Sus scrofa: one gene and its partner. The protein of the gene in region 1 purifies or fractionates together with the protein of each later gene. This does not show direct contact. Links are inferred from orthologs where the notes say so. Each region holds a gene or a part of one and is shown in the gene's direction. Other genes may lie near its edges.

Region 1 (3,819 bases):
TTGAGCAGATGTGGTCGAAGTGAAAGATCAAGTCAGGTGAAGTTCTGGGAGAACAGTATTTCGGTCAGTGCGAACAAGAGCAGAGCATGTAGATGAAGTTATGCTTAAATTGTTCCAGGCCTGGCAAGAAAGCAGGAGTGGCTAGAGAAAGAGTGAGCCAAAGGGATGAGAGGAAGAAGGTAAGTGGAGAGCAGGGCAGAGACAGGCAGGGGCCAGTCTTATAAGTGATTTTAAGAAATGTGGATTTTATTCTGAGTGTAGTGGGAAGCTGTTGGAATTTTTGAACAGAGTGATTTGACCTGATTTGTATTGTTGAAAAGATAACTAGCTGCTCTGTGGAGAATAGATTTAGGGCAAGAGAGGGAGAAGGAACCACTTTGGAGGGATCTAATGAGAGATAGCTTGCAACAGGAAAAAGGATGGATTTGAGATGGATTTTGAAGATGGAATTCATAGGACATAAATAAAGGTGAATAATTTCTGATACATTTTTATTTATTTTTTGTTTCAGTCAATAAAAGAGTTCCAATCAGAAGAATATCTTCAGATTATTACAGAAGAGGAAGCATTGAAGATAAAGGAGAATGATAGATCACTTTATATTTGTGACCCTTTTAGTGGTGTTGTCTTTGACCATCTCAAAAAGGTTTGCTTTAACTTTTAGTGTGTTCCTTCAGCAATCTGTTTTTTGGTTTGCTTTTGCTTCAGCAGACATAAGTTCTTTACTGACCATGAAATATTTTGCAATTTATGAAATCAGAGAAATTCTTTGGTTTTGGAAGTAGTGTTTTTTAAGGCTAATTGTGTTTCAGTAAGCTTTGGTTAATATGTAAGTTCATATTTCAGGGAATTTAACTTCATTTAGTACAAGTTAATCCTGTGTTAATGAAGCATTTTATTGATGAAATTCCACTGCACTGTAAACACAGTTTGAATGTAAGATTTATCAGGAAAAAATAATCGAGTAGGAAAAGACCTCAACCTAAAGCTTGGTTACTTACTGTCTTTCCTATGTGCTCCTGAATTTTAGTACTCATATCTTTTTTTTTTTTTTTTTTTTTTTTTTTTTTTTCCATTTCTCAGGCCTCTCCCACGGCATATGGAGATTCCCAGGCTAGGGGTCAAATCGGAGCTGTAGCCCCCGGCCTACGCCACAGCCACAGCAACGTGGGATCCGAGCCGCATCTGCGACCTACACCACAGCTCACGAAAACGCTGGATAGTTAACCCACTGAGCAAGTGCAGGGATCGAACCCTCAACCTCATGGTTCCTAGTAGGATTCATTAACCACTGCGCCAAGACAGGAACTCCTTAGTATTCATATCTTTATAGGGTCTGAAAAATGATATGCTAAACAGAAGCATTTTGGGGTTAAGCATTACTAATATACCAATGAGCCATCTTATTTCTTTTTGTTGATTCTAGAGTCTACTGACTCATTACTTTTTTGGTGTCTGGACAAGAGAGAAGCATTGAAATAAGAGTAAACTGACTATAATTCCATCCAGATTACAAAGAACTTATTCTTGTTTAAAGAAGAAGAAAACATAGAAGAGTAGGTAGATGCAGTACTGTCTGTACAGTGTACAGAAGGTCTGTGCCCACCTTTGCCAAAAGCATTGTTGGTCTTGAAATAACACTGCTTGTCAGGTAGAATCAGCAGCATCAAAAACTCAGTTTTCTTATGACTGACCAAAAAGGTAGCAACAATCATTTGCTCTGTGGATATTTAAATCAGTCATGCTTTGGTGACTTTGGCAACAGTAGGCTTTTTAGTCTGGCCCAGGTGTGCTGAATTGAGCAAGACTGTCACCTTTCTCAATTAGCAATGAAAATAAAAGGTTTTTTCTTTTTCTTTTTTTGAGCAACCTGCAGTATCTTAGGAGAAGTCTTTGTGGATCTTCCTTGAAAAGACATTAAGTTGAAGACAAAGTATTTTAAAAAAACAAATACAGAAACTGCCTAGGATTATACTTTTTTGGGGTAACATAATAGGTATTTAGAGGGACTTTATCTGAGCTCATACTTTTAAACTACTTTATTGGCTGAAAGCTTCATTTGAAAAGTAAATGTAGATATTTACTAATTCTAATGGCATGAGACTGTTAATTCACATCCCCTGTCATTAAGATTGCATTTGTTTTAGAGATTAAAAATTTAATGGCAACTTTGAGTATGGCTTTTAGAGCTTATTTCTTTTGATAGCCTGCATTGTTTGATTTGCTTGTATGTGTGTGTTTTAACGTGGTGTATGTTTGAGAAATCATATAATGGTCTTTTTTTTTTTTTTCCTTGTAACAATTTGGTGATTTTTCTGCAGTGGTCATCAACTCCTATAAAGAATTGGTAAATATTACAAAATGTAATCTTAATGTAAGACTGAAGGTCTTTTCCTACTTACTAAACTTTATCTGTTTTTGTAGCTTGGCTGCAGAATTGTTGGTCCTCAAGTGGTCATATTTTGTATGCACCACCAGCGATGTGTCCCAAGAGCGGAGCATCCAGTTTATAACATGGTTATGTCTGATGTAACTGTATCTTGTACAAGCCTGGAAAAAGACAAAAGGGTAGGTGTTGAGGTGTTGAGAGGAATATCATGATCAATATATATATTTCCACACTTAATTTTTCACTGTGTAGGAGATACTTCAAAAGACCTTGCACTTGGTGTTCATGACTTATAGCAAAATCAAGATGACAGTGTATATCTTTTTTAATTTTTTAATAAATTAAGGAGTTCTTGCTGTGGTGCAACATGATCTAGTGTCTGCAGCACTAAGACGCAGGTTTGGTCCCTGGCCTGGCACAGTGGGTTAACGGATCTGGCGTTGCCACAGCTGCAGCTTGGATCTGATCCCTGGCTCAGGAACTCCATATGCCATGGGGCTGCCACGAAAGAAAAAAAATTGATAAATAAATTGAATACAGTGGAATCTTTTGTTGAAAACTGGCTAGTTGAAGTTTTTTGTTTTGATTTAAAGAGGAAGCTCAGTTTTTTCCTCTGTATAATCAGTGAGTTTGTTTTTGAATCATTTATATTTTTCCATCATAGTTGGTTAATTTTTTTAAAAAAGGCTTCTGAGAGCTATGTATATGTTTTTATATATTACGTGTATAATTTATATTTTTTGAGTATGTACATGGCGTAAAAATTATTTTTTATTGTAGAAGCAACATAGTTAAATTTATGGAAGATAAATGTAGGGAGATAATGTGTATAAAGATAACTATTCTAAAACGTATACTTTATATTCCCACAAGTAATTTTGTCAATTATTTAATTTTATGGTGGTGGTGAACATTTGTACATTCAAACTAACAACAAAAGATGTTTATGGGATATTGTATAAAAAGTGGAAGAGATATAGTTTTCCTCCCTATTAATAAAGTATTTTCTTTTGGGGCTACAGGAAGAAGTTCATAAATATGTACAAATGATGGGTGGACGCGTATACAGAGACCTTAACGTATCAGTAACTCACCTTATTGCAGGAGAAGTTGGTAGCAAAAAATATTTAGTTGCAGCAAACCTAAAAAAACCTATTTTGCTTCCTTCTTGGATAAAAACACTTTGGGAGAAATCACAAGAGAAGTAAGAAAAATATTTAGATATTTTCTAGATTTGAAAAAATGATGCATTCAATCATTTTGGCATATTGTGGGCTTTCATAGGGGAGGTTTTATGACACTCTCTTTGGATTTGTTATTTGGGGACAAAAAAAAAATTGTTACTCTTCTCTAATATAAACAAAATATAACCTATAAGCTCTCATCATCAAGTTGATAGGTAGAATGAGCTGTGTACTTAGCATCAGCTG
Region 2 (3,819 bases), on another chromosome or scaffold:
GGCTGGGTGCCGTTCAGTAGGGCTCAGGCCTCATGCTGCAGACAAACAGGCTCCTCCAGGTGCTCGCTCACTCATGGTGCCCCTCTTCTTTTTCCAGTTCCATTACTTCATCCTCATAAACTGTGGCGCTAACGTGGACCTATTGGATATACTTCAACCCGATGAAGATACCATATTTTTCGTGTGTGACACTCACAGGCCAGTCAATGTTGTGAACGTGTACAATGATACCCAGGTAAGCAGGCCTTTGGGGCCCTGAGTTCTATCCATCTGTCTGTTCCCTTTTTGTGCATGGACAGCACTGCATCTGGTGTTCTTGGCAAGGAGCATGGCCACCTCTCCAGTAGGAGCTGGAGCAGCCTGAAGATGAGAACCCGGTCTTGTCCATCCTGGATGAGAAACACAGCATATACCCTGGAAGTGCTCAGAGTGCATGTATGGAACTTGCTCGACCTGGGAGGTGTAGGGACCAGAACCCTACCCTGAGTCTTTGCTCCCAGTTCAGGCCAACCCAACCTTAGTGAATATCAGGAGACCTCAGAGATGCCCCTAAATGGGGCAGGGACGTGCCCTACTTATCCAGGGCGGTATAGGGACCAGGTGTGAGAGGCCATGGTGAGCCTGGCTTGGCTCTGACTCACTTGCTCCTGGAGCCTGAGCAGAGCAGCCACCTAGCCCTTCTCTGAGTCTCCACAGTCTCTGTGTCCTCTGTCCGAGGCCAAGTTGCAAGGCGTTCACTTTGGTGGCTGTGTGTGTGGCCTGAGAGGGACCTTTTTCCCAGACTTAAGGGACTATACCTGTACCTCTGTGCACCATGTGGCACACAGATCCCAGTGCCTCACTGAGCAGAAATGAAGATGAGAAAACATCTAAGAGTCTGAGTTCTCACGTGGGGCTCTGCTACACAGGCCAGTCAGGAAGTAAGATTTTGTAAGAGATAAACACTATGGATAGTTTTTGGTCAAGGAGAGAGGAGGTTTATTGCTTTTTGTTTGAATCTTAGATCAAACTGCTTATTAAACAAGATGACGACCTGGAAGTTCCTGCCTATGACGACCTCTTTAGGGATGAAGAGGAAGATGAAGAACATTCAGGAAACGAAAGCGATGAGGGGTCAGAGCCTTCTGAGAAGCGCACACGGTTAGAGGAGGTGGGTTCAGGCCTCTCACCATGATCTTGAGGAACTCGGGGGTTGCTCCTGAGGTCAGAGAGCAGCCCGAAGCCAAAGGCCTTGGCAGAGCTGGGGGGCAGCAGGCACGGCTGCTGACTCAGGGCTCTCCTCTCCCCTGGCTGTGCGGCCTTGGGCAGGTTTCTGACTTTCTCTGAGCTTCGGTATCCCTGTCTGTGCCATAGAATCCCGGCTGATGAAATGAAACTTGGTACTGCTCAGCTTACCACCTAGGTAGCAAACACTTTCTAAAGCTGCACGAAGAAACAGTAAGCAGCACAAGCGGCCCCTCTCTTCCCCAGTCCCTCCAGTGTGTGCTCACTGTGGAGGAGCTGCAGTTCTAGACCATCACCCCAGGGGAAGTATTTTGTGGATAGATACCAGTGGTTTGCACCCAGTGGGCCTGGGGCCTGTGCACTTCTGCGAGATGTAGGATTACTGGTCGTTGCTGCAACGGGAAGGCTGAGATTATTCTAGTGCTCAGTGTTGTGAAGAAGTGGATGCCTCTGGCTCTGGGTCCTTGCTGTGCGGACTGATTTGCCTCTGGGATGTTCAGGGTCTTCCCCTCATCCTTGGCCTCACAGGGCCATGTCTGGGACGTCTGGACACTGTCCACTGGGGGGCGTCCTGCTTCCTCGGCTCGCCTGCTCTTTCTAGAGTGTCGGGTCCTCTGAGCAAGACTTCTCAGACCCACTCAGATTTCTTTCCTCTTGCCTGGCTCTTTACCTCTTTGTTCTATTTTCCAGCCAAGTTCTGGTCTTTGTCTTCTGATCTTTGATTTCTAAGAGCTCTTTCTTTTTACTACAAGCTTCAGGGGTACAGCATTATAGTCCAACATCTGCACACACTGCAAAGTGCTCACCACCCCAAGTCTAGTACCAGCCGCCACCATATGGTAGATCCCGGTTCCCTTCACCCTCGTCCCTGCCCCCCACCCCCACCCCCCGCCCCAGTAGCAGATCTCTGTATCCATGAGTTTGTGTTTATTTTCTCTGTTCATTTGTTATGTGCAGATTCCACATATAAGTGGTATATGATTTCTGTCTTTCTCTGTCTGGCTTATCTCACCTGTATGGTGATCTCTAGGTCCACCATGTTGCTGTAAATTGCATTATTTCTGTGGCTGAGTAGTATCCCATTGCATAAATACACGACATATTCTTTATTCATATCTCTGTTGATGGACATTTAGATTGCTTCCATGTCTTAGGTATTGTGAATAGTGCTGCAGTGAATACAGGGATGCATGTATCTTTTCAAATCATGGTTTTCTTAGGTAAATGCCCAGGAGCGATATTGCTGGATCATATGGTAGCTTTATTTTTAGTTTTTTTGGCCAGGCCAGGGATCGAACCACACCTCTGCAGCAACCTGAGCGGTCGGATTCTTAACACACTGCACCACCGCGGGAATTTTATTTTTAGTTTTTTAAGGGACTTCGGTACTGTTTTCCAGAGTGGTTGTACCAATTTACATTCCCACCAACAGTGCAGGAGAGTTCCCTCTTCTCCACACCCTCTCCAGCATTTGTTATTTATAGACTTTTTGATGATGGCCATTCTCCCTGGAGTGAAGTAGTTTTGATTTGCATTTGCATTTCTCTAATAATTAGTGATGTTGAACATTTTTTCATGTGCTTGTTGGTCATCTGTCTGTCTTCTTTGGAGAAATGTCTGTTTTAGTTTTCTGCCCATTTTTTTACTTGTTTGGTTTTTTGCTAGTGAGCTGTGTGAGCCCTCCTGCCCAGGCTTGGGGTCCCACAGTGTCCCACAGCCACAAGGGAAGGGGACAGGACCCTACTGTGCGCTCTGGGGAGGGTCAAAGAATCCTTGGACCGTGGGGGTTTTGTTAATCAGCTTTACTGACATTTAACTTCTACACAATAAATTTCTCTAGGTCTAATCTGATGAGATTTGACAATGTGTAAAGTCATGTCACGACAGAGAACAGAAGAGTTCCATCACCCTCCAAAAGTTCCCTCAGGACCATGGCTTGCCTTTTTGCGGGGGGGGGACACCTGAAGCACATGGAGGTTCCCAGGCTAGGGATTGAATTGGAGCTGCAGCTCCCGGCCTAAACCACAGCCACAGCAACGCCAGATCCGAGCCAAGTCTGAGACCTATACCACAGCAACACTGGATCCTTAACCCACTGAGCGAGACCAGGGATCGAACCCACAACCTCATGGTTCCTAGTCGGATTCGTTTCCGCTGCGCCACAACGAGAACACCTCCTTGCCCTTTTTTTTTTTTTGTCTTTTCTAAGGCCTCATGCGCAGCATATGGAGGTTCCCAGGCTAGGGGTCCAATCGGAGCTGTAGCCACCGGCCTACACCAGAGCCACAGTGACACTGGATCTGAGCCGTGTCTGTGACCTACACCACAACTCACAGCAACACTGGATCCTTAACCCACTGAGCAGGTCCAGGGATCGAGCCCAAATCCTTATGGATACTAGTCATGTTCGCTAACCACTGAGCTATGACGGGAACTCCAAGTTGCTTCCCTTTTGTTTCTGAGTTTGTTCCATGGTGTGGACCCACCTCGGTTTGTTTAGCCATATACTCCCTGACGGGCATCTGGGCTATCTCATTTCCGGCTATTGTGAAGAGAGCTGCTATAAACATTTGTGTGCAGGTTTGTGTGAACATG

Evidence for each region.
Region 2: the proteins of TOPBP1 (region 1) and CDC45 purify together in Homo sapiens (affinity purification with western blotting; 3 studies listed by BioGRID and IntAct, with this or other methods). This does not show direct contact. The link is inferred for Sus scrofa from reciprocal best matches to the Homo sapiens genes TOPBP1 and CDC45.

The regions. Positions count from the first base shown.
Region 1 is NC_010455.5:74,839,678-74,843,496, reverse strand, and holds part of TOPBP1 (DNA topoisomerase 2-binding protein 1), read left to right. Parts: intron 1-511; coding exon 512-646; intron 647-1,884; exon of another isoform or gene 1,885-1,996; intron 1,997-2,321; exon of another isoform or gene 2,322-2,347; intron 2,348-2,424; coding exon 2,425-2,568; intron 2,569-3,411; coding exon 3,412-3,593; intron 3,594-3,819. UniProt on the Homo sapiens protein: Scaffold protein that acts as a key protein-protein adapter in DNA replication and DNA repair. Composed of multiple BRCT domains, which specifically recognize and bind phosphorylated proteins, bringing proteins together into functional combinations.
Region 2 is NC_010456.5:51,136,064-51,139,882, forward strand, and holds part of CDC45 (cell division control protein 45 homolog), read left to right. Parts: intron 1-97; coding exon 98-235; exon of another isoform or gene 236-291; coding exon of another isoform or gene 292-435; intron 436-1,003; coding exon 1,004-1,150; intron 1,151-3,819. UniProt on the Homo sapiens protein: Required for initiation of chromosomal DNA replication. Core component of CDC45-MCM-GINS (CMG) helicase, the molecular machine that unwinds template DNA during replication, and around which the replisome is built.